Astyanax mexicanus: one gene and its partners. The protein of the gene in region 3 purifies or fractionates together with the protein of the main gene of each other region. This does not show direct contact. Links are inferred from orthologs where the notes say so. Each region holds a gene or a part of one and is shown on either strand. Other genes may lie near its edges. The genes, in order: hbs1l, exosc9, dis3l and exosome complex component RRP40.

Region 1 (7,070 bases), on a different chromosome or scaffold from region 3:
AGGTAGGCCAACGTAGATTTAAAATACCTGCTCAGGACGATCTTTGGTGTTGATGTGTAAAAGCCTAACCAGGGTTTCAAACCCTAGTCAGTTTGGTTGATGAGGCTATTAAAGGATTATATATTTTTTTAAGATTTTAGATGATACAGAGAGATAAATTAATTCCTATATTAGCCTTGTAGCTGCAGAGAAAACTAAAGAAGCAACACTTTGGAAACTAACTCTTGGTTAACCTCTTAAATTCCAGAATGTGCTATAAATGCTGAATAATTCATAATGGTTTCTGCATTAGGACAGATGGTTTGGCATGGTTCTGTACACACAGTCTCACAGAGCATTAAAATAAGCTGTAAGGCGCAGATAACAAGAGAGGATGAAAATTCAACAGCATGTTTCACCCAAACGATTGCATGGTATTGTGGGAATTGTAATAGATTTCAAGATATTCTTTTTCACAGTTCTGGAACTTGTGCTGGACACTTCTCTACCTAAATCAGTGCTCCATCTCTTTGGGCTGTCAGTCAGACTGAAGCAAAAATGTGGTCCATCTGGGTGGTGTCCTCTAGGACTGTGTTTGACAACCCTTTCCCCAAAGCATCTTAAGCACTATCTGAACGGGATTAGTTTCTCAGGGGGACATCTGTGAAAAATATTTCACCCTTCTACTCAGTGATAAAACTCTTACATCCAGACTGCAATTGAAATAAACAGGGGGACCTGTGAGGTTTTTTTTCTCGATAACGTGACACCGCGTTCAGTAGCTCCTCCATTTCCACTCGCTGTTTTGTTTACATGAATCTCCATGGAAACAAGCGTCCAAAGTGTAAATATGGTGCGTGACAGAGGACAAATAGCCATTTTATTAAACTCGAGGTGACGGAACTCAGAAATCTGGACGGGAATAAAATTACTGGAGGACCACGGAGATTAGCGAAAAACAGTAGATAATTCAGCCTGTAATTTTGCCCAAACATGGTCATTCCGGATGTTAATAATCACAGAGGACTCCCCATAAAAGAGAAAATTTCCTCAGGACCCCCCAAAAAAACTAATCCTGTCCGGACAGGGCTTTTGACTGATATTTTTAAAAGACTATTCCTCCAAATTATTTACACCTTCATTCAAGAGTTTGAAATTAACAAAGTGAAGATTGGTTCTATGATGCCTTTCGGAAGGTAGAAGGGTGAAATCCAAACCATTGTGAGAACCAAACCACGACTTTCATGCCTCATTAATTATGACTAACATCTAAAAAAATAAACTTAGAGTTGAGGCTGTTAATTGGCCATTTCAGAGGTAAGGACTAATCACTGACTATCACTGTTTTGGCGACTGGACTTTACTTGAAAAATATTTACGCCTCATTTTATCAAAACAACAAAACACAGCCTACACAACCTAGCCAACACCACCAGCATCACACACAACATCAGTACTGTTACAGAGAGTCACATGACATGAGAGTAATTACCACAATCTCAGTAGAACCAACCTGTAGCAGGGGAGATGCAGTAATCATCATCCACTGACTGTCCATAAATGTCATCATCTTCAAAATCTGTGAGGAAAAGAGAACAGAAGACAAAATTAGGCTCAATTAGGAAAGAGAGATTGTAAAAACATTATTTAAAGCACAATATGTATAGACAATAAATTATATTTCTTTTTTTAACAATGTTTTGGCACACCCGTCAAACCAATTAATTTAAAACACTGCTATTTAAATACTCTTCAATGCAAAGTAAAGTGTTTTTTTTATTCAGCTTTTTTTTTTTTTTTTTTGCTGAATGCCATCCATTAATTAAACACTTTAAAACTCTAATGAAAAGTAGAGCAGGATCGGTGTTCCTTAAGCAATAATGGTGATATCTTTGATATGTATATTAAAGCATATTGTCGATACAATTCCAAAATGAATCACGATACAATCAAATATCGGTTTGTTGCCCAGCTCTAAATACACTCACAGTGTACCAAATGGCATTAAACACTGAGTCAGCTACTCACATATGGCCTGGTCATCAAACCTGTAAACAGCAGCATTGTCTGACACAACTTCAAAACATAGACAATTCATATATTTATTAGATCCACACATAAGTCCTAAACGTTAACTTAAGCTCTATTACTGAAATACTAATAACACACATGCTTTTATTAGCTATTAATGTTCATTAGTTTGCCCAATTTCACCAAAACAGACAATACCATTAAAGAGCATATCTACAACATTAAAATAAAGACAGTTTATATATGTATTAGAGCCTCATATAAATCTTAATCGTTAAAATATGCTTATTTAGTGAAACATTAAGAACACTACTGACTGCTTTTATTAGGTTAATGTTTATTAATTTGCACAATTTCACCAAAACAGATAACACCACAAAAGAGCAGATCTACAACATTAAAATATAGACAGTTTATATGTTTATATGTTTTATATGTTTAACACAAAGCATAAACACAAATAAGTGTTTAGTTAAGCTCATAAATGGACATGTTTCAGACTGAAGTTAGCTAACGGTTGGTTAGCAGATGCAGATAGCTGCATTAGCACTGCAGTAACTTCATACTGCTAAAAATATACTGGCAGAAACGCAAGCAGCGTGTTGTTGAAAGGTGATAAATGTAAGTACAGCTATTCTACAGCAGATTTAAGCACGACAGGAACTTCTACAGACAGTTTATTACATATAAACAGCGGTAAAGTACTGACACGCCATCACTCAAACAATCACACCGGGCCAGGCTAAGCTAAGCTAACTGAGCCACCCAGCTAACCAGCTCTCAGCTCTTATCTCCAGCTTTTAAAACTCGTTTATTGAGACAGCCACACGCACACTAGCTGGTATATAATCTACCTTCGTCGTAGTTATAGCCCCGGACATTCCTGTGGCGAGACATGGTTTATTCAGGGAGTTTTCTGTGCTTTTTCCAGGCTAAAGTTCAGGCATATGCGTCTCACTCCACTGCCGCCATGATTACCCGTCAACGCGGCGAGGGCGCGCATGCGCAGTGAAGACTTTTGGAATAAAAGTCACTTTAATCTTGTTTTTATTAAATTATTTAATAATCAATAATTGCATGTTTTTATGTGTTTTATGTTGCAAAAACATGGTAGACAGTGAAATGATGCCATAAAGTTTTTGGATTCTTCTAGGGTTCCCCAAGTTCTTTCATAAATAGTACATAAGCTCCAGATTATATATATTTTTTTTAAATCTGTATTTACTTTAAACACATATCGTTCCTGTCCAATAAAATACTTTTTTATTATTATTATTATTTATTATTTTTGTTTATTTGTAATTTACTACACAATTTAAACGTACAAAATATCCTTTACATTGTTTAAAAAATAAAAATTGATGAATGGACCAATACAAATTCTCCAAAATGACCTGACAAAATTTTTATCTCTTTTAGATAAATGTAGTGAGCAATTAATTCTTTATCATGATAAATTATGACACACGACAACAACGACAATACAAGTTGTATTTTAGCATTCAGTTTTAGAAATCAGGTCAGCAAAAAAAAACGCCTAATAAAACATAATTTAATTTAAGCATGTAAATTGTTAAAATGGTTGAAACAGACCTTTAAAACCTAAAACACACCTTTAAAAGGTGTCTTGTGGGTTATTTTTAATAACCTTTTTAAATAATGTTTCTTGTACTATTTTTTTATTAAAAAAAACAGACAATTATGTCGTAGTTTACTTAAAAATACAGTGCCACATTTGTGCATCCTTATTATTAAGTTATGTTTAATTAAATGGTAAATACAAATTAAATATTTAATTTGTTTCAGCCACTGGTCTTTGGCTCTGAGACATACTGAGAAATTACCAGGTGGAAAAATCCCCTGAGAGAGTTATTTCCCAGTGGAAACTCTCCCACAGCTGCTGCACCTCATCCTGTCCTGGAAACCACCTTCTTCTCCCCCCCTCTGCCCTCACTTGCTTCTCTCTTCTCTCTTTCTGTCTCTCCAGCAGGACTTTAGGAGCAAAGGTCTTACATAATGTGATGCATCTCACTGATGAAACTGTCATAAATGATTATGCATGCATTCACATTAAATATAAGTCCCACGCCTTGTCTTACTCCTAATACAGATGTATACAAATGTAACACATGTCTGTTTGGGTAGCCTTGCACAAAGCTGCAGTATATGCAACAAACGTGCACAAAAGCTTATTCATATTTTCTTCTGAAATCAAGGGAATTTACCTAGTTCACTGGCTGACTAAAGAGAGAGAGCCAGGAGGTAACATAGACACAAGGGCACCCTGAAACACTGGCATCCATCCAATTTATCATCTACAAACCTCAGAGATTGCATTTATATTATATCCTTAATTCTATAAACACTAGAATCTGCAGCATTTTAACCAAAGGGAAATATAAATTACCAAATCTAAACTAAACAAGTTTATTTTAGTCTACAATCGAAGATTGAGTTTGTGTTTAAATCATTATCTAGAAGCATATATAGTTCCACTACATAGATCAGTGCTGAAGGGCTTTATACCCCTCTAGCTCACGCCTAGCATTAGGCATGGCATAATGCCAAAAGGTCCAAGTTTATCTGTTCCAGAGAGTCCTGTTTTACTGGAAGTACTTCTTAACAAGGTGTTACAAAAGTATGTGGAATGGGTGCAAAAGAAGGGTATGTGCATGGTGCCTACCCTACTTGACTTTACTTTCTCTTTTGGTATCTGGTTCCCAGTTAGTTTTCCACTACCAACCATAGCTTCCAATGGTAGAGGAAACGTCAAGTTGCTCTATGAATTGCTCTTTAAAAGTAATGTGTGATTGCATTATTATGCTATTCATCTCAAGGGGAATTGTTGCAAAAATTTGCAGCTACACATGGCGTAGTCAATTTGAGAGTTTTCAGCGAGATCGGAAGATCGCTGGTTCGAAAGTCATGTAGCTCGCCATCAGCTGCCGGATCCCTGAGAGAGTACAATTGTCCTTGCTCTCTTTTGGTGGGTAGATGGCGCTCAACCTAGATGCTTCTAGGTGACGTCTACACCCTAGATGTAGATCAGCAAAGGGCATCTGTGAGCTGATTTATTGGAACTTTCCTCAGAGCGCGCTGTGATGCTACTCAGTTGGAAAAGAGACTTTACGTGTTTCGGAGGAGGCATGTGCTAGTCTTTACTCTCCTTGTGTTGTGGCATCACTAGCGTTGGGGGATATACAGCTGACTAGCAGATAAATGGGTCGGCCAATTGGCCTAGCTAAATTAGGGGAGAAAAAATGGAAGTGGAAAAAAAAAGTGGAAAAAACATGGCATTGGGCTGTGAAAGTGTCTTTAATGAAGTCTGAAGGTGATCTGCCATTGTAGAAAATTGCAACTGTTGATCTTGGTGCTGACCACAGTCCCTCCACATTCGGGGTCATTGGTCATATCAAACCAATACAAATATGTGACTCATCGCTGAAGATCTGCCATGACTACCCACCTAAATTCATTCCTGTCAAAAGATTCCTTCTGGATGCAAACATTTTTTGTGATGTAAAAAGACAATAATTGTGTTATTTATTGCAATTATTTTTGGAACAATATATCACTTACAAAACTGGTAATTGTGACCGCCTATTTCTAGTCTCTCCACAACTATCCACCACACATTGGTGTCCATAAATACACTGAACATAACCATATAAAGAACCGTGAAATGCTCTTGTTCTCTCCATCCCTCACTCTGTGTAGATTTAGGTCACTCTAAGAAAGCATGAGGCGAGAGAACCTCAAAGCTGCAGTGTTGAGAAAGTGTGTGAGTACTGCAGGTGTCTGTTTTTGTTCCGAGTTAAATTTAGGTCTGTGCACAAGTGTCAAATGTCATACAGATGTGAATGACACCTTTCAGCACAGAAAAAAATAAAACCTGCAGAGGAAGATCAATCACACATACACACTCACACACACAAACAGATACAGATATACTCACACAACCTTGATTCATTTGGCTAGAGTGCCTTGGCAGTTTTTCTGTGTCCATAGTCGATGGAAAGTTTGAGTATTTTTACTCAGGGCTACTTCTTAGGATAAATATAATCAGTAAACGTGATTCATCAGTTTAACCTACAAAAATATTTTATATGGAAAGAAACAGTTAAACTGCTTAAATTCCCTGTAATAAAAACTGTACTTTAAATAAAATGACACACAGCGAAACAATTAGAAACAGTTAGATAAACAAAGCAATACTAGGAAATGGAGAGTTCTGCCTCTGATTGGTTGAACAAATTCAAACCAGTTTTACAATATCTCACAACAACACACAACAACCCAATTTTGGTCGAATTGCTGTAAGGACTTATACAATAGTGCAATAGTGAGAGAGTATTAGTGAGGTCACGATGTTGGATAATCACCACCTCCACCTCATCTCAAACTTCCCAACTCATCCCTAAAGTACTGTATGGAGCATTAGCTCAATACTGGGGTGGCTTTATATCTCTCTACTCTCAATGCCCACACCAATATGTTAATTTTCTGTTGCCAATATACCTCTGCAGTGGCTAGACATACATTTGGACATATAGTGTAAATAAAATGAAAAAGTAAAGCGAAATAATTCTGCTCTTTCATACTACATCATTAATAGGCCTGTTTGGAGTATTTTTTTCCCAAGAGCCCACCTCTCACTGTAGTTCAGGGAGTCTCCCGCATTTTAATAGTGGCTCTCTAATGCCCACATATTATATATGATCATATGTAATATTTGTTTAGGGCCAGCAAGTGAACAAGAGAGGGAGCATTAAGGCAATGGGAAGGAAAGGGGCAAAAGAGGAAGACACATACACACTTAGTGAGAAAGTAACAAAAACATCATCATGATTGGCCTCTTTTTATGCTGGCTAATTGGCTAATGCACACAGTGGTACAGAATTATCCAACTACAGTCTTTTTCTTCTGTATAGGGGTGAAATAATAACACAGTTAAAACAATGTTAGGAACTATGACACCTATCTTACCAACAGTGGGATAAATTAAAGCAGAAATTATATTGAGCTGTTTTTTTGTTTTTTTTTCTGAAGAAGAAGAAGAA
Region 2 (7,251 bases), on a different chromosome or scaffold from region 3:
GGCTTTTCAGGGAGAGATTCGTTCACATTACACACAGATACAGATCACTTACATTTACAGTGAATGTGAACCGACAAGATCTGAGCAAAAAAAAAAAATCAGATTTGGGCAATGTGGCTTGTAATGTCAACGTAGCCATAGAGAAGGGGAGCATCATTAGCCTGCCATCCTGAGTTTAAATCAGCCAATCACAGACTCTTTCTTTTGAGTAAAACCTGGACTGCTATGGACTAGAACTGTAACGTCTTTAGAGACAAATCCAGGTTCTGTTTAGGATTCAACAAAGACCTTGTTGTACTTTTAAACTCATTTAAACTGCTTTTAAACTAAAAGCTTTATACCATTCCAACAATCCAAGGTTATGGGGAATAAAATTAATAATTTGATACACATTGTAGAACATAAAATTTCATGATCTATTGTATTTACGTGAACATGGCCTTCGTGTAGCAGTACTACAGTACCTGTTGGGCTGAAACGCAGGTGATGCCATGGGGGACAGCTCCAGGTTAAAGAACACGATTCCCTCTGTGGGACGTGAATCTTTGGGTGGCACAAGCTCACATGATACCTGAGCCAACACCCTTCAGAGACAGAGACAGAGACAGTCAGTCACATACATACCATCCATCTGTCTGCTGTATGTACAGCAACAGTCAAAAAATTAGATAAACCTAAAAATGCAGTGGTTTTTCATTTTTTTTTAATTATCTGCATTGTAGATTAATAATTAAGTCATCATTTGGTAAAGTGAAAAGTGTTAAACAAACCAAAATATGCTTTCTATTTTAGATTTCGTAAAGTCAGCTTTTATGAGGTTTTTAATGGAACGGCTTTCAGTTAACAGCTGTGTTAAATCTGTTTCATTCAATCAGAAAAATGTTGGAACACTTTAAAGAATTCTTAAGTTCAGTCGCAAAGACCAAATCAAAATTTATGATGAAACTGGCACTCATCAGGAACGGATTTACCAGCATTAAAAAACCACAAGTTAACAGCACCCCTGATAAAATGCATCTACAAGCTTCACAGAGTATCTTGTTTGGTTTGCTTAACACTTTTTAAGTTACTACATGACTCCTTATGTGTTCCTTCATATTCTGAATGACTGTATATATATTTACAACAATTTCAATTTAATTAAATTTTATTGATATACACTTATGAACCAAACTATTAAGACCACATAAAGAAATAAGCCTAATGCACTGTACTGTGATCCATCTGTGTACCACAAGCTTATTTTATCATTAACAAACATTAAAATTAAAAAACAAATTTAGAGACAGGAGTGTTAGGCTCCTATTAAACTACAGTAGCTTACCTGGTTTTGCCGAGACTGACCGTACAGCAGCCATAATCTGTACCAAATGTGATTCTTATGTTGCGGTAGTCGTATGTCTGCCTTCCATCCAGGCGCTGAAACAAATAAATGAACATGGTTTATTTTCTGATGATGCAGATTCACCACATACACTACATGCACTACATACATATTATAGCTTAATACTACAACATTTAAATGAACTATACTACAGTTTATTATTATAATAAAATAGAATGTACATAGACTACTGGTCAAAAGTTTTAGGACACCTCTATTGTTTAGAAGTCCAGTAGAAGTCTGTTTTTTTTTTTTCTAATCTTATCAATGATTTTATTACTGCACTTCACCTGTCAGACCTCTAATTCTTCTCTTCACTGCTGAAACTGAGACTTAGTTTATTGTTAATCTGAACTGAAGGCGCTGTTGCCATGTGGATCAGCCAGACGTAACTCTTCCTGTAGCAGTTTTTCTCCAGTTTCCGAGTCTTTCGAAGGTGTAGGAAACAGTCTGTAATTTCTCTAAAGAAAATATTTTTGCTTTTAATGGTTACACAGTTACCACTTATTATGATGAAATTGTATAAATGCTGCAGGAGATATATATTTTAAACAATATACTAATATATTATAGTACTAGTAGAGTATAGTATAGATTAGTATAAGCTTATGAGTTACACATAACAGGAACTTGATTCTTCTTCTTGCAGCATCTATTCCTGATCATATTAAAAGCATTTTATATTATCATTTTACGATAATATTTTATAATATCATTTGAATGAAATTTGATAACACGTGTTCATGTTCTACAGAGGGACTGTAGAAAGCATCCTGGGCACCTGCATTACCGTCTGGTTTGGGAACTGCAACACCTCAGATCGCAAGTCCCTACAGCGGATAGTGCGGACAGCTGAGAAGATCCCTCTTCCCTCAATCACCGAGATCTACACCACACGCTGCATCAGCAAAGCCACCAGCATTGTGAATGACCCCACCCATCCCTCACACGGACTCTTCGCTCTGATGCCGTCCGGCAGAAGATACAGGAGCATCCGAGCCTCCATTTCTAGACTCTGCAACAGCTTCATCCACCAGGCAGTCAGACTCCTCAACGCACAGAGCCTCTACTACCAGACTCTGAAACAGCTTCATCCACCAGGCAGTCAGACTCCTCAACACACAGAGACAGAGCTGAACCCCACCCCACCAAACCCCACCGAACCCCACCCCACCCACCACACCACACACCCAACACACTCACACAAAACTGAACTGTACCCGTCACTTCTGCACTCAGATGTACTGACAATAAAAGCCTCTTGACTTGACTTGACTCTGTTCTGTGGTTTATATAAACAGCTTTATTAGATAAATCACTGAACCCTGAATCACTGCATCTCTGATTAGACTGGATCTGAGTGAGTAACAGGTGTGAACAGTGGGACTGGGAGTAATCCTGCTGATCTGCTGCTGTTTTATAAACTAGTTAAGTTCAGATAAGAGAAATCAGTCTCTTACCTTCTTCTCCTCCACAGCTTTCAGAAGAAAGGTTCTCTCGCAGGCTGAGAGCGGAGTTTCCTTCATATTTCTCTCTGTCTATGTCTCTTTCTCTGTTTATCCCGGTCTCAGTAAACACCTCTCTGTAGGAACACAGTCTGCACTCAGTCACGCTGCTGCTGCGTCGCGGTTTGAGTGCGTCATCACAGCCGGAGCACAGCCGGGCTGTGACCGATATGGCTCCCTCTTTACTCTTTAGGGCACTATTGAGTGTGTCAGCCATTTTTCTTTGAGTGTCCCAGAATGCAACGCGAGTCTTGCTACCTAGCAACAGACAGCCTAGCCATCAGGGTTGCCAAATTATTACATTGAAATTAAGGTAAACCCATAGACTGTATATAGCTGGACAGAGCATCGTCTCTTAAAAGTGAAGCCACCACAGGTCGGGCGCCCCCTGCTGTTCGGCTGCAGAAAGCTGTGTAACTCCACCCATCCCCATAGGTTTCAATGGCAAAACAGACAACATTCAATCACGTTTTTTTCTAATATACTGTAATTCTACCTCCATTATTTAAATGCAACAGCTTTAGTGTAACCTCTGCTTATATTGTAAATTTTTTTATATCCCCACAGAATTCGGTTTTTAAAACTTTATTCGGCTCTATTCAAAAAAGGTGTGGTTATTGTAAAAGGGCTGTAAATATAAAAGTCATCAGCTCAGAGCTTCACTTACTGTAATTCAGAGCTCAGCTCGTGTTTTAATGAAGTTTTAAACACAGTTCAGGTGTTTAAGTGAGCAGAGCGGACGCGTGTTAATGACTAGTTAGTGAACTACACAGTCTCTCCCTATATAGGGCACACTACTGAGGGAGTAGGAATCCATTTCGGACACACTCCTGGTGTTCCGTCGAGTTCGGCTACCCACAGATATGTGCTACCTTATGTTCCGCGCATGCGTTAACTCATTTTTTAAAAACGTTTTCATGTGTTTTTTTTTTCTGATAATTTTAATAATAATGGTTTTCTCCAAGCTCACTAACATTGTTTGAGTGTTCTAGCCATGTGAACATATATATGTATAATAAAAAATAACTATTTTCACCTATATATACACTAGGGTAGCACGGTTTGACAAGGTAGCACAAATCGACAGAACGCCGGTGTTCGAGTTGCGCTAGCCATGGCCATTTGTGCTACTTAACGGCTCTGCGCATGCGTTAACTCATTTTTTTTACTGTTTTAGTGTGTTTTCCTGATAATTACAACAAGAATAATAAGAAGAATAACAACAAGAACAACAATAATAATAATAATAATAATTGGAAATTTGTTGCTTAGTATTTAAATGTGAGTTTTAAGGTTTGTATTATGGAAAACACCACAGCACAGTTAAACCTAACCACTGATTTATTTAAGAAAAGGTGGAAAACATTGAAAACATACTTAAAATACTGTACATACTGTTAAATTGTGTATATGTATAAAAGTGTTTATGCGTGTGCAGGCAGGTGAAAACGTGTACATGTGTGTATATGTATATAGGTATGTATACATGTAACTATATAGACAATGTTAATGTGTTTTTTTTATCCCTCTAAACTGTAGAGAAAAGATTTTTTAAGATCTCCACCTATCCAGACGTTTTTTTGTCTATTTTCAGTTGTTCATTCTATTGTATTGAAATGCTATTTGTGGCTTAATTTCCAACATAATGGCTTTGAAATGCAAACAAAATATTTTTCTTTATACAATAAAATATACTATTGTTAAAAAAAAATAAATAAAAAGTGAGTTTTTAGTCATTAAGTTGCAACACAGACACACAAAACACACAACAAGAGCATTTAAAATAGTTTATTTATAAACATAAACTTGCTATAAAACCCACTGCATTTCAAGGGTTGCCAAGTTGTCCTATCTCTCGTCTTTAAGAGGATAAAATAAATACACAGCTTTAACACACGGGCCAGTTTCTCCATCCGAGTGAGAAAACCGTAGGCTACATCACCTCGCTCCATAATTCTTATATATCTTAATTAGAGATTAGCCTACACAAATAAGACAGATCATATGACCTATGGCCCATGACCTGTATTTCCTTTAGGTTATTTAAAACAGATCTGGGATACTAAAACATAATTTGAGAGCATGCCAAGCCCCATTCACAACAGCCAAACGTTGCAGAAGTATCGTTACGCAGATCACAGGGTTTATGAATAAAAAGACACTGGTATGAAATAGTCATTTCTGCATATATCCATCTGTTTACCATCTGCAATGGTAGAACAAACAAGCAAAGAAAATGGAAAATGTTGCTCTGAGCGTTGCACACGGAACACAAGCACACAACAACCTCCTTCCAAAGGTGCAATCAATCATTCGTAAGGCACGACACAGCAATGTGTATGATTTACAGCTGTCTGGAACAACAGAAAAGAAAGAAAAACAAAAACAAAAACTAAGAAACTAAGACAAACAACCTTAACGTTTTTTTTTTCTTCTTCTCTGCCGAACGGCTGCGAAATGTAATGTAACAACGTAAAGAAGAACCAAAATGGAAATAGAAATTCATTCACTAATTATAACGCAATTTCAAACTTCATGCATTTCAAACCGCAAGCTAGGCTAATATATCTGATCACGAATTGAAGCAAATGAGAGCAAACGAGAGGAGGAACAAGAACAGAAATAAAAATAATACTTAAAACACAGGTTAACACATCGATTAACTTAAAACCACGTGCTTAACAAACCAGGTTTATTAAGAGTTTTTTGTCTTTTTTTTTTTTTTTGCTTTTTCTGAGATGATAATGAAAGATTTCCAGTCACTTCCTTCACAATCGGCCTGTCGCAGAGTCATGCAGCATTAAGTAGTGCCTGCTATTAAGGCAAAATGTAGGAAAAAAGTAAAACTGAAAACTTTGCCTACTTGAAGGCTTTATCCCATTATTCACCTTCCGGCTGAAATTGAACGAAATGGTGCAAAAAGTCTTTGGACAGGCTACAAGTAAAGATGGGCTTAATCAATTCCTAAGGCTACAAGCTATAAGGGCTTAACATTGCTTATCATGCTGAAATTCACTTTCAACTTTCAACTTCATACGGGGGGTTAATTTTCCTTCCAAAATAGAACATTTATCAGTTTTCCTGACAAAATAAAATGACTACGGATTAATTACAAATAGGGATGTACTGAATTATTTGGCAAAAAAAACAAAAACGTCCTAAGTTGGCAAAAAAAAGCAATGTTCTTATTTAACGCCAAGTCATTTGATGCAATGTTTTCATTTTAGTATTGTATGAATTACTTTAAACTGTGTAAAATACAGTTAATACTCACATAATGTAACTAGAATAGCACTACTGAGGTAAATTCACTAGCTAGCTAGTTAACTGTTGAGGTAAACGTACAGTAGCTAGCTAGCTGCTTTGTTGGTACGCCTGCTGGAATATTAAAAATGTTTATATGGTAAATAAAAAATTGTAACAGCTTTTTTTTCTTTGACAAGCAGGTCAACAATTCCTGTAGACTATAAATTTTACCCAGTGGTGAAAAAAGTGGCAAATTTAATGAAAACCCTGGCACCAAATGTTTCATTTTGTTCAGTTTCGATCAAAAATCAGGACATGCTTTCATTGCTTAACTGTTAAAAACGAATTAAAGTCAACAAAAAAAACTAAAATTGAACAAGAGGAGCGAGTGCACAAAAGCACAAAAAGACACACAAATTTAACTAAATTGAACTGTAGAGTGGAATAAAACAAAAAAAAAAATCCAAGTTAAAATTTCAACCACAGTTTTAAAATTATGAACATTTCACTCAGCGGTCCTTTTCCTGCTTGGTTACCAAATTCCCAACTTTCCTGCAAAATTGGCAGGAATTGGATTTCTTGCCTTATGTTCACATCCTTCACATTTGTTTAAGTTTTTTTTTAGCATCCCCCCATATCCGATGTAAAAATGTAAAGTTGAAGCCCGTATATATATGCTCAGTTCAGAGGGTCCAATGTGCAAAACCGCTGACTTCCCTAGCTACATCTCTTTCTCTTATCCAGCTGCTCAATGATTAGGTTATTAAACGTTATTAAACATTATAATCTCAGTAGAACCTTTCTCGCTGAAAAGGCGGGTCTGTGTTTTATTGCTAATTTAATTGATCTATACTATCCAGGCGAGTGGAAAGATCCATTTTGTACAACAAGCTAACGTGAGGTTTTAATACTTGTTACCACAATTCATTTTTTCACTCATGTGTCTAATGGTCAGAAGCACATATTTGCAGCTTAGTGTGATTAAGAGTCCAGAATAATAAACAAACACGCCGTAAATATCCCAGTTTCATCCGTTTGAGTTGCAGGGTGATCTGAATGGTTGTGCTTTTATGTAAATCACTCCACAATTGAAACATCAGCTCTCATGTCTTCTTC
Region 3 (6,935 bases):
TTAATAATGTCTAAATTAGTGTCCATTAATAACTAGTTAAGACATTTCCGAACCATTTAACAATGTTTATTAATGTGGAAGTATTATATCCTGTTATTTGTGACCCTTATTGTCATGCCGGCTAGAAGTGAGGTAGACATACTGTATGCAGATACTTAACATAAAGTTTATTAACAAAGTGCTTAAACCTACATGAGTTACGTGGGACAGGCTTGGTTAACATCAAAAGTGCACCAAGATACAACAACATACCGGGGGGAGTGGTCAGGCAAAACATGGTCATACACGAGTGATCCAGCAGAAAACAGTGCAAAGCAAAAGAAAGGTCTAAACACAAAAATAATGGTCAGCTATGGTAAACAAACAACAAAGAGGGCAAAAAGGGAAAGAAAGGAAAGAAAGGGAATAATGGCAAATACTAATGAAATGTGACATAAAAGAGCTGGCTAATCAAATTTAATAATCTGTGACAAGGAACAGAAACAGGGGGTATTCATACTAACATGACAGGTGTGTGTAATTAGAAGCTAGGCGAATTAGAACGATTAGCTGCGTCCGGAATGTCTGGTGTAACTGCATGCTGGGAGTCTTTAGTGAGTGCAACAGAGTTTATGGCAGACATACTGACATCTTCAGGACTGACATTTGCTGTAAACTGTTACCAAAACTTCAACAATACACTGTTGCTCAGACATTTTGTTCAATCAATTTGATAAAAAAAAGACAGTGTAAAACTGTCTGACAACCAAATTAGTGTATTATTTGGAGAAATTTTCAATAGATCACAATATTTTGTCTTGTAAAACTATAAGGTCTAGATTGAGTCATCCAGCAAAACTAATCTATCTTATTCTAAGGGGTAGTTTCTTAGACAGGGCTTAAGCTTAGTCATTGACTATATTTCAGTTTTAGTTCATAACTAGGCTTATTCCCTGTCCAGGAAACTGACCTGAACTATAAACAGAATTGGTTGATTCTTCTGTAGCTTTCTATTTGTGCTGGGAGTTAACTTAATAGGTTTTGTCCATTGTTAAGGACGGGTTGCTGGGGAGATTGATATCTACTTTGACCTACTGTGGTTTCTCCTGTTTTCTTGTTTATCGTGAACAGTAGCCTATAATAATAATGACTGGGTCAGTTTTCTGGGCAGGGATTCAGAGATAACTATAGGCTTTTTTCCCCTTTCAGTGTAAAATATGAATGTATAATAGTCTGCAGTACAATTTTATAAAATAAAAATGTAATAAAACTGTAAATAAAGTTTATTTTAGTTGTTATTTCCAAGAAATTGTTAGGCCTTCTATGTAAGCCTTAAATGCTTTATTGTATTCTCCGTTGTTTTACATACTGTATACTTATCTGACCCCAATATTTGCATTTGTCTTCTATTTATAGTTCTCAGGTTGGACAACAGCGAGCCTCTGGACCTGAAATACGATGGCAGTGGCTACTACAACCCTGGAGTTCAAGGAGACAATATCCAGATGACCAACTTCCCAAGAGGACACTCTAACTGAAGATTACACTGCTGTGCCAAGGAGAACACTGTTATGTGTGCTGGACCGTGATGTTACTGATTGTGAATCTGGGCAGAACGTATCTTTATTAAAGTATATATACAAAAATCTTTGTAAAGAAATAACGAAAATAATATGCCAAATGAATTTTGCCACTTTAAATGGACCAAAACCTCTTTTTCTTCTCATTTTTTCCCTCGTTCGTATTGACTGCTGGAAAAAAATGCACAGATTGAACAGTGTTTTTGGTGTTACATTAATTTTTTTATTCATTTTTCATTTAAATATAAATCATATGTAGTCCTGTGTTATCCCATTTCAGTAAATATTAATATTAATATTAATCTAGGGTTTCACATGACATCATATTATATATATATATATATATATATATATATATATATATATATATATATATATATATATATAAATCAGGGAGTGCCTAGCTAGATAGCTCGCTAACTTTGTTGAAGAATCTGTTGTAGCTAACAAATTAGTGCCTGTTCCATCAGTATCAAACTTAAATGATTCCATTTTTTGTGAAAATGTGTTATCCCATTTCAGTAAAGATTATATGATTTAAGTAATAGTTAGTTAAGTAATGTACATCAAACTATAAGGAAGTATCCTGAGTGAATATAAGTTATTTTAATAAAAAGCTTAATTATGGTACCTTTTATGTGTAATTTCTCTACTGGTGGAATGGGCACTAATCTGTTTGCTAGGTAGGTACTTCTGTTGATGTGTCTTGCCTTGCTTAGACTGTAATGCAAGCTAAGCTAAGCTAAGCTAAGGTAAAAAAAAAGGCTTAGATGTGGTTAGTGCTATGAAAATCTGAAGTTCTTTATTAGTCACAAACACAAAATATCTATATCTTCTTTTTGAGGTACCAGTGTACCTCAGGTTTTCTTCTAAAGTAAGATGCTAATTTTAGTAATATTTCACCATTGACTATTGGGAAAAACAGAAATTAGCTTCTAAATTTGTTGGGCACAACAAATGTGTCTGAACCCTTGAATACAGTTATAAGCTGTTTAATATAATTCTTCTTATTTTTATTACGTAAATGTAGTTTTATTAAATAATGCTGGTAATATTTTGATTCAGTTCGATATTTTAAAGATCTTTGTTCCAGATTTATTAGTAAAGATGATCAGATGATAGGTCAGACAGCAGAATGGGCTTCTGGGAAATGCATGTGTATTAGAACAGTTTGTGGTGTTATTATGTGGATCTACTTGATGTCATATTGAAAAAAACGAGTGTTCATATTAAAAAATATATTAAAAAATCAGGTTCTGAACTTCTTCTGATCTGTAACAGTGATTGTGCAGAAACTTCAAAACTTCTTAAAGATACTGTAGACAGCTCTGGAAAACAATTAGAGGCCACATAAAAAGTATGGGTTTCTTTGATTTTACCAAATTAAAAACCTCTGGAATATAATCAAGAGGAAGATGGATGATCACAAACCATAAAACCAAACTGAACTGCTTAAATTTTTGCACCAGGAGTAAAGTAGCATAAATTTATCTAAAAGCACTGTGTAAGACTGGTGGAGGAGGAGAACATGATGCCACAATGCATGAAAACTGTGATTAAAAACCAGGGTTATTCCACCAAATATTGATTATTTCTGAACTCTTAAAACTTTATGAATATGAACTTGTTTTCTTTGCATTATTCAAGTCTGAAAGCTCTGTATCTTTTTTGTTATTTCAGCCATTTCTTATTTTCTGCAAATAAATGCTCTAAATGGCAATATTTTTATTTGGAATTTGGGAGAAATGTTGTCTGTAGTTTATAGAATAAAACAACAATGTTAATTCTACCCAAACATAAACCTATGCATAGAAAAAAACAGAGAAATTGATGGTCTCTTAATTGGTTGGAATATTTTATATAATAAGTTTACGGTTATTCAATGCAGATCATAGATAATAACACTGGAGCACTCAAACAATAAAATAAACAAAAAAGTTTTCAAAAGAAAATGTGTTGGCTAATTATTTCATGAGCATGCATAGCCAGGTTTTCACACAGTGAAGCAGGATGTGGTTGCACACGAATACTGTACATTAATATATATATATATATATATATATATATATATATATATATATATATATATATATATATATATATATATATATATATATATATATATATATATATATATATATGTATGTATATAAGTGACCTTTAAGGCATCTCCAAGTGTCCTATTGGACATCTCCAAGTGTCCCTTTGGTATCTCCAAGTATCTTTTTCGGGAATCTCCAAGTGTCCTTTTGGACATCTCCAAGTGTCCCTTTGGTATCTCTTTGGAGCTTCGGGTTCGCCGTCTGTACTTCACACTCCGGATCGGTAGGGGCGGTAATGCGCTGTGATTGGTCTGAACTCCGGGAGAAGAAGTTAAGAGGCCGGCTGTTTGTTGTTGTTTGGTATATTAGAGTTATCATAGAGTTAATATAGAGTTAATATAATGTTTAAAACGGAGAAGGTGCTGCATTTAAAGAGCAGTAGAGGGGGGAAGGTGCGGGTGGTGAGGGAGCACTATGTGAGGGAGCGGGTGAGCTGCGGCTGCGCAGTGTGTGAGGCGGGCTGTGACCGCGGTAAGATACATACACTACACTATATTACATTATATATAACCACCACAGCACTCTATATAACTATATAACTATATATACATGTATAACTATAACATTGTATCACTATAGAACTTACACATGTAACATTTTCCCTGTGGCCAAGAGATACAGCTTACAGTTAACGTTAAACCACAACACTGTATAACTAACAGTAATATAATTATATATCTTTATTTAAACCTATATAACTGTAAAACTATTGAACTATAGAACTATTTTATTGTATAAACGTAGACCTATAGAGCTGAATAACTATTGAACCACATATCTTTATCACTGTGTAACTTTTGAACTATAAAGCTGTATGATTGTAAAACTATATAACCATTGAGCTATAAAGCTGTATAACTGTATATATGTAGAACTATAGAGCTGTACAACTGTAGAAATGTATAGAACTGTAGATCTATAGAGCTGTATATCTGTAGAACTATAGAGCTGTATAACTGTAGAACTATTAAACTATAGAGCTGTAGATTTGTACAGAACTATTAAACTATGGAGTTGTATAACTAACGTCATAGAACTATAGAGCTGTATAATTGTATAACTGTAGAACTATTAAACTATAGAGTTATATAACTGTAGAACTATTGAGCTGTATAACTATATAACTATTGAGTTGTATAATTGAAGGGCTATTAAACTATAAAGTTGTATAAGTGTAGAACTACTGAACTATAAAGCAGAAGAATTATAGAAATATATGTAACTGTATAACTGTAGAGCTAAGGAGCTGTATAATTGTATAACTGTGTAACTATAGAACCATATGACTATATACCTATAGAAATATATAACTATAGAATAATATATCCATATAACTTATACATTTAACGTGAGACAATACACTTATTATCTCTTTAACTTACCTTAATATCAGATTTCCTATTTAACCTAGATAATATACTGCTTTAACAGAGTGATTTTGTATACAATCATAATAATGGAACAAAATAAGTGTGCCATTTATCAAAATGTACACAAATGTATCACAGTTTGATAAAATAACGTCATATTGCCCAGCTCTACTGCTGTAGTTTTATAAAGTATATGTATAAATTATACATGCTAATGCTCCCACTGTGCTCATATAGATGGTAAGCTGCTGTCTGGGGATGTGACCCACTACGTGGTGCCGGATGCTGTAGTGGTGCGGGACTTTCTGGAGGTCCTGGAGTTTAGAGAGTTGCAAGGGATTGTGTTTACCCAGACGGCCTGTCAGGCTGCACATCACGCCCGAGGACGGAGGTATGCTGCTGATACGATGTCTGTTAAATTATATAATTTAACAATGTTAAATTATAACACTCTGAGGCTGGATCAGAGTCTGAACCAAGGTTACATTGTAGTCTGTACATTTAGTTCATTGGTTTCACTCTGCATAACTTTACTAAATGGGTGGAGTCTCCCTATACTATACCTGCACTGATTGGTTTGTAGAATATTGTCAATTTGATGAGATGCATTTCCAGATGTTGTGCTGAATTCTGTCTACCTGATAGAATTTGACTCCCCAGTCATGTGATTTGATTTATTTCAGTTATTTCAGTTTATGAATGAAAGTTAATCTACAGTTACAGTAGTTACAGTAATCACCAGAGTAATCTGTTGTAGCCATACTGCTGCGTGATGCGCCTCTACGTGAAGGTAGTCGGATTTCGGCACAAGACCAGTTCTGTTTCTTCTTCTATTGTTTAATAAGTGACGATAGCCTGCCTCAACTTCTCGTAATTGGTCCGAAAGTCCTAAACCATCTGTAAAATTGTTTTCAGGTTCATTAGATCCAGAGTGAGACCACTTAAAAGGCCAAAAGGCCTGACCAATTTTTGGTTTTGTGACCTAGAGTGTGGATTGGTCCCTTGCTAAATTAAATAGTGTGTGGAATGCAGAATGTCTTTTTTTCTTTCTTTCTGTACTGTGTATGTCAAATTATTCTTATTATTACATTCTGCAGGCACTATAACAGGTTACGTGGTCTCCTGAAGGACCCCCGCCATGACTGCGTCTTGTTTGCCAATGAGTTTCAGCAGTATTCCTACTGCCCCCGAGAGAAAGGAGAGACGCAGGAGAAATGGCACACAAGGTGACTGATAATTTAATTTAGTGTGATTTGTGAAGCTTATCATTCATGATATTAATGATGATATCATGATATCACGATATTAGACCTGTCACAATAACAGCATTTTGTGGACAACATATATTGCGATATATTGATGATGATGATGATGATGATGATGATGTAATCTAAAGACCATATAATGCCAACAAAATAACGAAAGAATAAGAGGATAATAAAGCAAAATTGCATTAATTTCTAATTAAATAAATAGTTTGGAATGGCCATTCATTGCACCACTGGCAAATTTGTTTTTGTTAATTTAGTAAATTAAGTTGTTTTACATTTGAACAAGCATGCAAATAAACACATATGACACCAAAAAAATCTGTAATTTTCATATCTATGCGTATTTTACCCTCTTCAGTAAAACAGATGATGTAAAGTATTGTAGAGAATCATTTTGTGATGTATAAAGAATCAAAGAATCGCAGTATTTTGATATCAATACAAGCTGATCTTGAGCATTTGTGCTGGTTTCAGGTGTGTGTATCATGCAGCAGTGTGGTATTATAACCACCTGGCTGGTCTGAAGCCAGTGGTTATGATCACAGAAGACCAGGACGCTGTTAAGGAGTACAGCAGTCTCAACAGTGGGGTTTACGTCATCTCAACCCGAGTATGTGTGTTGTTTCTACTTTT
Region 4 (7,858 bases), on a different chromosome or scaffold from region 3:
TTATTTTTAATAATAATTTTGCCACCAAGTTTGACTCCAACTTTCACTGTAATCTGCTGTAATGTGTGCAATACCAAACACTTCCTGAGATTTTCATACTCAGTGAAATAAGTTCTAATGAAGAAATCCTTACAACCAAGCGGAGATGTTTACCCGTACAATAAAATAAAAAATAAAAAAAGGTTTTTATTTAAAGGTTTTTCCTCTATACAATTTGTCATACATTTTTTATTTCAGCGTCCCACGTTGACTTTATCTCCCCTCAAACATACAAGTATACAATAATTTTAATTAACACCACTAATATTAATTTAATAGCATTTTACATTTCTAACATTCATTCTTCTATTTACATTCAAATGTATATATATATATATATATATATATATATATATATATATATATATATATATATATATATATATATATTCTTTACAAATAAGGTAAATTATTGCTTTTTTAAACATTTAAATAGACATAATAGCTTTGAATTCTTATGCATATTTTTACAGAAAATGGCAAATTCATTTAAAGATTGTGTTTATCTACGCAGTACAAAAAACACCATGTTATCTGGCTTTAAGAAAACTTCTGTGTATGAAACAGACTTTGATTAGAATGCTGAATGTTGCAGGATTTAGACTGAATGCTAAGCAGAAGATTTCTGATGTATTTTTCTTGTCTTTTGTGTACAGCATTATCATCGTATTTTTAGGCTGCTGGCACTCTGCATACCTGCGTACTAATCCCAGAGAAACCTTGAAGAGAAGCCCGTCCGCTCCAAATACTCCCATCCCATTGGCCCGCCCACAGCTATCTATGCACACAAGCTCCGGCTCCATGTCTTTGTTGGCAATAGTGAACTGTGCATAAACCAGATCTCCAACCTATAAAGCACAGAAACAAACAGTCAGACAAACTAAATGAGCTGCAATAATTAAATAACAATATCTGTTATAAAAAAATATCTGTTTCTGTGGGATACATTAGTTGGATTAGGTGAGTTTGGCACAATGAAAACACATGAAAAATGTGGGCGTCCAGGACCAAGCTTAAGAAATACTAGTTTGGACTATGTTGGGCTACTGATTTTGCTATAAACACACAGTGTAAGCAGTGAAGCATGCTTTTTTCAAAAGGTACTGTACCTGCACATTGGGTCTGTTCCTCTTGGTGGCTCCTTCAAACGCTAGGTAGGACAGAGATGCCTGCTCACTGCCTCCAACATCCACTTTAAAGATGTCTCCAGACTTTGCAGTCACTATTCCAATCACACTCTCGCCCTTAACTGGAACATACTGGAGAAAATGATCAGTTAAAAGATTTAGCATGTACAGTATATACACAACAGTTATATTGTTCCAGTCAAAATTTGGACACACCTCTTCTCATTTAATGTGTTTTCATTCTTTTTACGATTTTCTTTACATTGTAAATTTAATATTGAAGACATTAAAGCTATATAGAATCACATATGTTTTAAACTTTAGATTCTTCTAAGTAGGCTCATTTTGCTTTGAGGACAGATCTGCACATTCTTGGCATTTTAATCTCAGTGTCTTCACTGAGGACGGTGTTCCTGGAGATTGGGTTGGGTTGAGGTGAGGGGATTGTTTACTGTGTAATTTCACATGTCCCTCTTAATTGTTTTCATGTATTTAATATTAATCTATGATGTATAAAATAAATATTAGAAAAATAAATATAGAAAAACATTAAATGAGAAGGTGTGTCTAAACATATGTTTTGATACTGTACTACAGTTATATATATTACAGTACAGTAAAGTAATACAGCTCTAAAAAAAAAAAAAAGAGACCACTTCAGTTGCTGAATCAATTTCTCTGATTTTGTATATGGTTAATGTTTGAGAAAAATACACACTGTTTTATTCCACAAACAACATTTCTCCCAAAATTCAAATAAAAATATTGTCATTTAGAGCATTTATTGAGAAATGAGAAATGGCTGAAACAACAACAAGATGCAGAGCTTGCAGACCTCAAATAATGCAAAGAAAACACGTTCATATTCATAAAGTTTTAAGAGTTCAGATATCAATATTTGGTGGAATAACCCTGGTTTTTATTTACAGTTTTCATGCATCTTGGCATGTATTCCTCCACCAGTCTTACACAATGCTTTCGGATAAGTTTATGCCACTACTGGTGCAAAAAAATCAAACACTTTATACATAGGTTTAACATCCATATTCCACTTGAATATATTGCAGAGGTTTTTAATCTGTTAAAATCAAAGAAACTAATAAGCAATAATTGTTAAGTGCTCTCTTATTTTCTTCCTCAGAGCTGTACGTAAGAATCTGTAGTCAGACCTTTTTTCAAAACTAAAAACCCAGCCAACTCCAGAATAGTTTTTGCTGGTAGCTGTTTTCAGATGGTCTAAGCTGGTCTTTGATGGTGAATGAGGTTAAGAGATGTTGGTCATCCAGGTTGATCAAGCTTGATCATACTGTTGACCTGACTAGTTAGCTTGTTTAGGTTGATGATGCTTGTAGTCCAGCTAAACAATCTAACTCAAATAGAATCACACCCCCATACTGATACTGATACTGGTCAGAATCGAATCTGGACAACAAGGAATTTCCGACCAGAAGCTGGGTGTGGAGCTTCGGCTGTGAAACTGAATAAATTCACATGTCAGCAGAACACACAGATAGACTGACAGCATGTGTGTGAGCTGGGGTTTGTTAAGGTTACCCTCTTCTGCTGGGAGTCTATCCAGTACAAGTTGGGGGCTTTATGGCGGAGAATCCCACTTTTGTACACCAGGATTTCGTCCCCGTTCCTCCGCAGCCCCGGACCGCAGATCACCCGCTCCGCCCGCACAGCGCTGCCCTCCACCGCGGACACGTCGAAGCAGAACACGTCCCCAGGTAAGATCACCTGCCCTAGCTTCTCTCTGAAACAGGAGTAAACCGCCTCCATACTCACACAGGGCTCCTGCACATGTGCGAGTACTGACAACACCACACACACTCTTCCGGTACAGCGCAGGAAACAGCATTACAATATAAAAGTCCCCCTCAGACAACACACACAGCCCCCTCTGTTCACTGTAAAAAAAATACTGTAGTTCTTAAAAATGTCATAAATCCAATAATTTTTGTTTGAATCACACTTTTTTCTGTTTGTCTGTTTAGGTTTGTTGTTTGTTTGTGTTTTTGTTTTGATGTGTTTGTGATGTTGATTGTATATGCTGTGAATTTGACCTATTATTATTGCATGCTCTTGGATTGTATTGTATAGTTTTTTTTTTGTTTTAAATATAAATAAGATTTTTTTTAGAAAATAATGCACAGCTCTGGAACAAATGAGACCACTTAAAAATGTAGTTACTTTGATTTTACTAAATTGAAAACCTCAATGTAATCAAGATAACAAGCCATCATACCAAGCTTAAGTTATCCAAAAGCAGTGTGTAAGACTGGGGGAGGAGTGCATGCGAAGATGCATGAAAACTGTGATTAAAAACCATTTTTTAATATATATTTTTTGGTTTCAAATACAATTAAGATTTTTTTGTATATTATGTACAGCTCTGGAAAACATAAGAAACCACTTAAAAATACGAGTTTCTTTGATTTTAGCAAATTGAAAACCTCTGGAATATAATCAAAAGGAAGATGGATGATCACAAGCCATTAAACCAAGCTGAACTTCTTGCATTTTCGCACCAGGAGTGGAACAAAGTTATCCAAAAGCAGTGTGTAAGACTGGTGGAGGAGTGCATGCGAAGATGCATGAAAACCGTAATTAAAAAACAGGTTTATTCCAGCAAATATTAAAACTTTATGAATATGATTTTTTTTATTTGCATTATTTGAGGTGTGAAAGTTCTGCATCTTTTTTTTTTTTTTTGTTATTTCAGCCATTTCTCATTTTCTGCAAATAAATGCTCTAAATGACAATATTTTTATTTGGAATTTGGGAGGAATTGTGTTTCTAGAATAAAACAACAATGTTCATTTTGCTCAAACATATACCTATAAATAGCTAAATCAGAGAAACTGATTCTGAAAATGAAGTGGTCTCTTCATTTTTTCCTGAGCTGTATAATGGTGTTACACAAATATCCTTAAATATAGCCCGATCAAAAGTTTCAGGACATCCCTGACCGAGTAATACACAACAAGAAACAACTCACCAGGGTATTGGACGGTTGTCGGTTGATTTTAGCCAATCACTGTAAAGTAGGCGGGACTTGTCGGAATATAGGTGGGGATACAACTAGAAAACTACAAAGCTGCAGTTCCTTGTTCAGGTGTTTCCTGTCTTTTTTAACTCTGTTTCTCACTGTGCTGTGTTGTGTAATATCAGAGCAGTGAGCACCAACAGCTCATCTAGCTGCAGGTTTAGCCCTGGACCATGGGTTTCTTTACAGCCGGGGGATGATTATGAAGGTTACGTTAATTTAGTTAGCTAGTTGTAACTAGCCGGCTAGCATTTCTGAACTAGCATATCTGTAGCAGCTGAGCTGAGCTAGCCCGGTGTGTTCAGTGCGTTTAGATGGATGCCGCTCTGTCAGAGGGTGCAGAAGATCCTGACACGTATAAGAAACATCATAAACACCCCATGGATCCAGAGGTCTCTGTGATGCTGCACTGTGCTCCCTCTCAGGGTCTGGAAGAACATCAGATCCGAGCAGAGATATCGACCAGGTACCCCTTCTGTATTCCTGCTCAGTAGATAACTCAGCATTTCTCACACACCACACAAATCTCACAGCTCAACACCTATTACTAACAAGGGCCAATATTCAGTGTAATGTGCTTTAATCTCAAAATAACAAGGTAGTATCTGACAATTATGACTTACTACCTCAAAACAATGCGCATCTCAAAATAAGGACTTACTATCTCAAAGTTACAAGGTAGTATCTGACAATTATGACATATTGCCTCAAAAGAATGAGCATCTCAAAATAAGGACTTAGTATCTCCAAATAAACAAGTAAGTATCTGACAATTATATGATGTACTACCTCAAAATAATGGGCATCTAAAAATAAGGACGTAGTATCTCAAAATAAACAAGGAAGTATATGACAATTATGACTTACTATCTCAAAATAAACAAGGAAGTATATGACAATTATGACTTACTATCTCAAAATAATGAGCATCTAAAAATAAGGACATAGTATATCAAAATAAACAAGGAAGTATCTGACGATTATGATGTACTACCTCAAAACAATGCACATCTCAAAATAAGGACTTACTATCTCAAAGTTACAAGGTAGTATCTGACAATTATGACATATTGCCTCAAAAGAATGAGCATCTAAAAATAAGGACTTACTATCTCAAAAGAAACAAGGAAGTATCTGACACTTATGACTTGCTATCTCAAAATAATGAGCATCTCAAAATAAGGACTAAGTATCTCAAAATTACAAGGTAGTATCTGACAATTATGACATATTGCCTCAAAAGAATGAGCATCTAAAAATAAGGACTTACTATCTCAAAATAAACAAGGTAGTATCTGACAATTATGACTTACTATCTCAAAATAATGAGCATCTAAAAATAAGGACTTACTATCTCAAAATAAACAAGGTAGTATCTGACAATTATGACTTACTATCTCAAAATAATGAGCATCTAAAAATAAGGACTTACTATCTCAAAATAAACAAGGAAGTATCTGACGATTATGATGTACTACCTCAAAGCAATGAGCATCTAAAAATAAGGACTTACTATCTCAAAATAAACAAGGAAGTATCTGACGATTATGATGTACTACCTCAAAGCAATGAGCATCTAAAAATAAGGACTTACTATCTCAAAATAAACAAGGTAGTATCTGACAATTATGACTTGCTATCTCAAAATAATGAGCATCTCAAAATAAGGACTTAGTATCTCAAAATTACAAGGTAGTATCTGACAATTATGACATATTGCCTCAAAATAATGAGCATCTCAAAATAAGGACTTACTATCTCAAAGTTGCAAGGTAGTATCTGACAATTATGACTTGCTATCTCAAAATAATGAGCATCTAAAAATAAGGACTTACTATCTCAAAATAAACAAGGAAGTATCTGACGATTATGATGTACTACCTCAAAGCAATGAGCATCTAAAAATAAGGACTTACTATCTCAAAATAAACAAGGTAGTATCTGACAATTATGACTTGCTATCTCAAAATAATGAGCATCTCAAAATAAGGACTAAGTATCTCAAAATTACAAGGTAGTATCTGACAATTATGACATATTGCCTCAAAAGAATGAGCATCTAAAAATAAGGACTTACTATCTCAAAATAAACAAGGTAGTATCTGACAATTATGACTTACTATCTCAAAATAATGAGCATCTAAAAATAAGGACTTACTATCTCAAAATAAACAAGGTAGTATCTGACAATTATGACTTACTATCTCAAAATAATGAGCATCTAAAAATAAGGACTTACTATCTCAAAATAAACAAGGAAGTATCTGACGATTATGATGTACTACCTCAAAGCAATGAGCATCTAAAAATAAGGACTTACTATCTCAAAATTACAAGGTAGTATCTGACAATTATGACATATTGCCTCAAAATAATGAGCATCTCAAAATAAGGACTTACTATCTCAAAGTTACAAGGTAGTATCTGACAATTATGACTTGCTATCTCAAAATAATGAGCATCTAAAAATAAGGACTTACTATCTCAAAATAAACAAGGTAGTATCTGACAATTATGACTTACTATCTCAAAATAATGAGCATCTAAAAATAAGGACTTACTATCTCAAAATAAACAAGGAAGTATCTGACGATTATGATGTACTACCTCAAAGCAATGAGCATCTAAAAATAAGGACTTAGTATCTCAAAATTACAAGGTAGTATCTGACAATTATGACATATTGCCTCAAAATAATGAGCATCTCAAAATAAGGACTTACTATCTCAAAATAAACAAGGTAGTATCTGACAATTATGACTTGCTATCTCAAAATAATGAGCATCTCAAAATAAGGACTTAGTATCTTAAAATAACAAGGTAGTATCTGACAAGTATGACTTACTATCTCAAGATAACAAATTATATTTCTGAAGTATATTTAGAAATCAAGCGATTTAAACGTATCCAAATCTCTGTTCGCCCTGTCATCTTGAAAAAACCCAACCCCCTTTTAGAAAGTAGCCTTTGACGACAGTGCACTGACATCAAAAGTTTCATACTGTTTTATTTTCATGCCACTTGTGTCAGGGCCAGACAGGAATGAGACTGGTGCAGATACAATAAAATAACTTTTATTAAAGTTATAGAGTAGACAGGGGTAGTCAACAGAAACAGGGTCAATACCAAACATGCACAGTGTAGAGAAACCATACCATAACCGGAGGACAGTCCAGAGTTCATACACGGGTAGGCAATATCACAGGGTAGGCAAAAATCCAGAGTACAATAAACAGTCCAGGTCATACACGGTAATCCAACACAAGGGAGCAGGCAAAAATCAAAGTCGGTAGAAAACAAAAACAAGATCATACACGGAGAATAGCAAGGGCAAGAGAAACGCTTTGTATTGTAGGATTTACCAAACAGATACTCGGCGAGGTGTGAGCGTGAGCATGGTCCTTAAATACACTGAGTAATCAGTACTCGGGACTTCCTGGTGGCGTCATGTGACGTGTCATGTGATCGGGAGTGTGTGTTGTCATGGAGTGGTGCGTTCTGGGTATTGTAGTTGTTACTGTGAGAATCGCAGATAGAGCTGGATGTGGGAGACACAGACGTGCTTTCAGCACCAGACATGACAGTACCCTCCCCCTGAGGGACCGGAGCGGAGGCAGAACGGGGCCGACCCCGGCGACGACCA

What was found.
Region 1: the proteins of dis3l (region 3) and hbs1l purify together in Homo sapiens (affinity purification with mass spectrometry; 5 studies listed by BioGRID and IntAct, with this or other methods). This does not show direct contact. The link is inferred for Astyanax mexicanus from reciprocal best matches to the Homo sapiens genes DIS3L and HBS1L.
Region 2: the proteins of dis3l (region 3) and exosc9 purify together in Homo sapiens (affinity purification with mass spectrometry; 3 studies listed by BioGRID and IntAct, with this or other methods). This does not show direct contact. The link is inferred for Astyanax mexicanus from reciprocal best matches to the Homo sapiens genes DIS3L and EXOSC9.
Region 4: the proteins of dis3l (region 3) and exosome complex component RRP40 purify together in Homo sapiens (affinity purification with mass spectrometry; 6 studies listed by BioGRID and IntAct, counting the BioPlex papers as one, with this or other methods). This does not show direct contact. The link is inferred for Astyanax mexicanus from reciprocal best matches to the Homo sapiens genes DIS3L and EXOSC3.

Annotation. Positions count from the first base shown.
Region 1 is NC_064420.1:44,408,637-44,415,706, forward strand, and holds the start of hbs1l (HBS1-like protein), read right to left. Parts: upstream 3,006-7,070; 5' UTR 2,908-3,005; coding exon 2,865-2,907; intron 1,559-2,864; coding exon 1,493-1,558; intron 1-1,492. UniProt on the Homo sapiens protein: GTPase component of the Pelota-HBS1L complex, a complex that recognizes stalled ribosomes and triggers the No-Go Decay (NGD) pathway.
Region 2 is NC_064432.1:2,497,478-2,504,728, reverse strand, and holds the start of exosc9 (exosome complex component RRP45), read right to left. Parts: upstream 3,021-7,251; 5' UTR 2,911-3,020; coding exon 2,845-2,910; intron 1,420-2,844; coding exon 1,325-1,419; intron 585-1,324; coding exon 465-584; intron 1-464. UniProt on the Homo sapiens protein: Non-catalytic component of the RNA exosome complex which has 3'->5' exoribonuclease activity and participates in a multitude of cellular RNA processing and degradation events.
Region 3 is NC_064430.1:4,908,910-4,915,844, forward strand, and holds the start of dis3l (DIS3-like exonuclease 1), read left to right. Parts: upstream 1-3,910; 5' UTR 3,911-4,002; coding exon 4,003-4,132; intron 4,133-5,268; coding exon 5,269-5,422; intron 5,423-6,128; coding exon 6,129-6,257; intron 6,258-6,776; coding exon 6,777-6,912; intron 6,913-6,935. Other genes in the region: muc15 (mucin-15), read left to right, coding at 1,396-1,517. UniProt on the Homo sapiens protein: Catalytic component of the RNA exosome complex which has 3'->5' exoribonuclease activity and participates in a multitude of cellular RNA processing and degradation events.
Region 4 is NC_064409.1:67,969,505-67,977,362, forward strand, and holds the start of exosome complex component RRP40, read right to left. Parts: upstream 3,013-7,858; 5' UTR 2,949-3,012; coding exon 2,721-2,948; intron 1,299-2,720; coding exon 1,149-1,298; intron 888-1,148; coding exon 736-887; intron 1-735. Other genes in the region: uridine diphosphate glucose pyrophosphatase NUDT22, read left to right, coding at 4,530-4,681. UniProt on the Homo sapiens protein: Non-catalytic component of the RNA exosome complex which has 3'->5' exoribonuclease activity and participates in a multitude of cellular RNA processing and degradation events.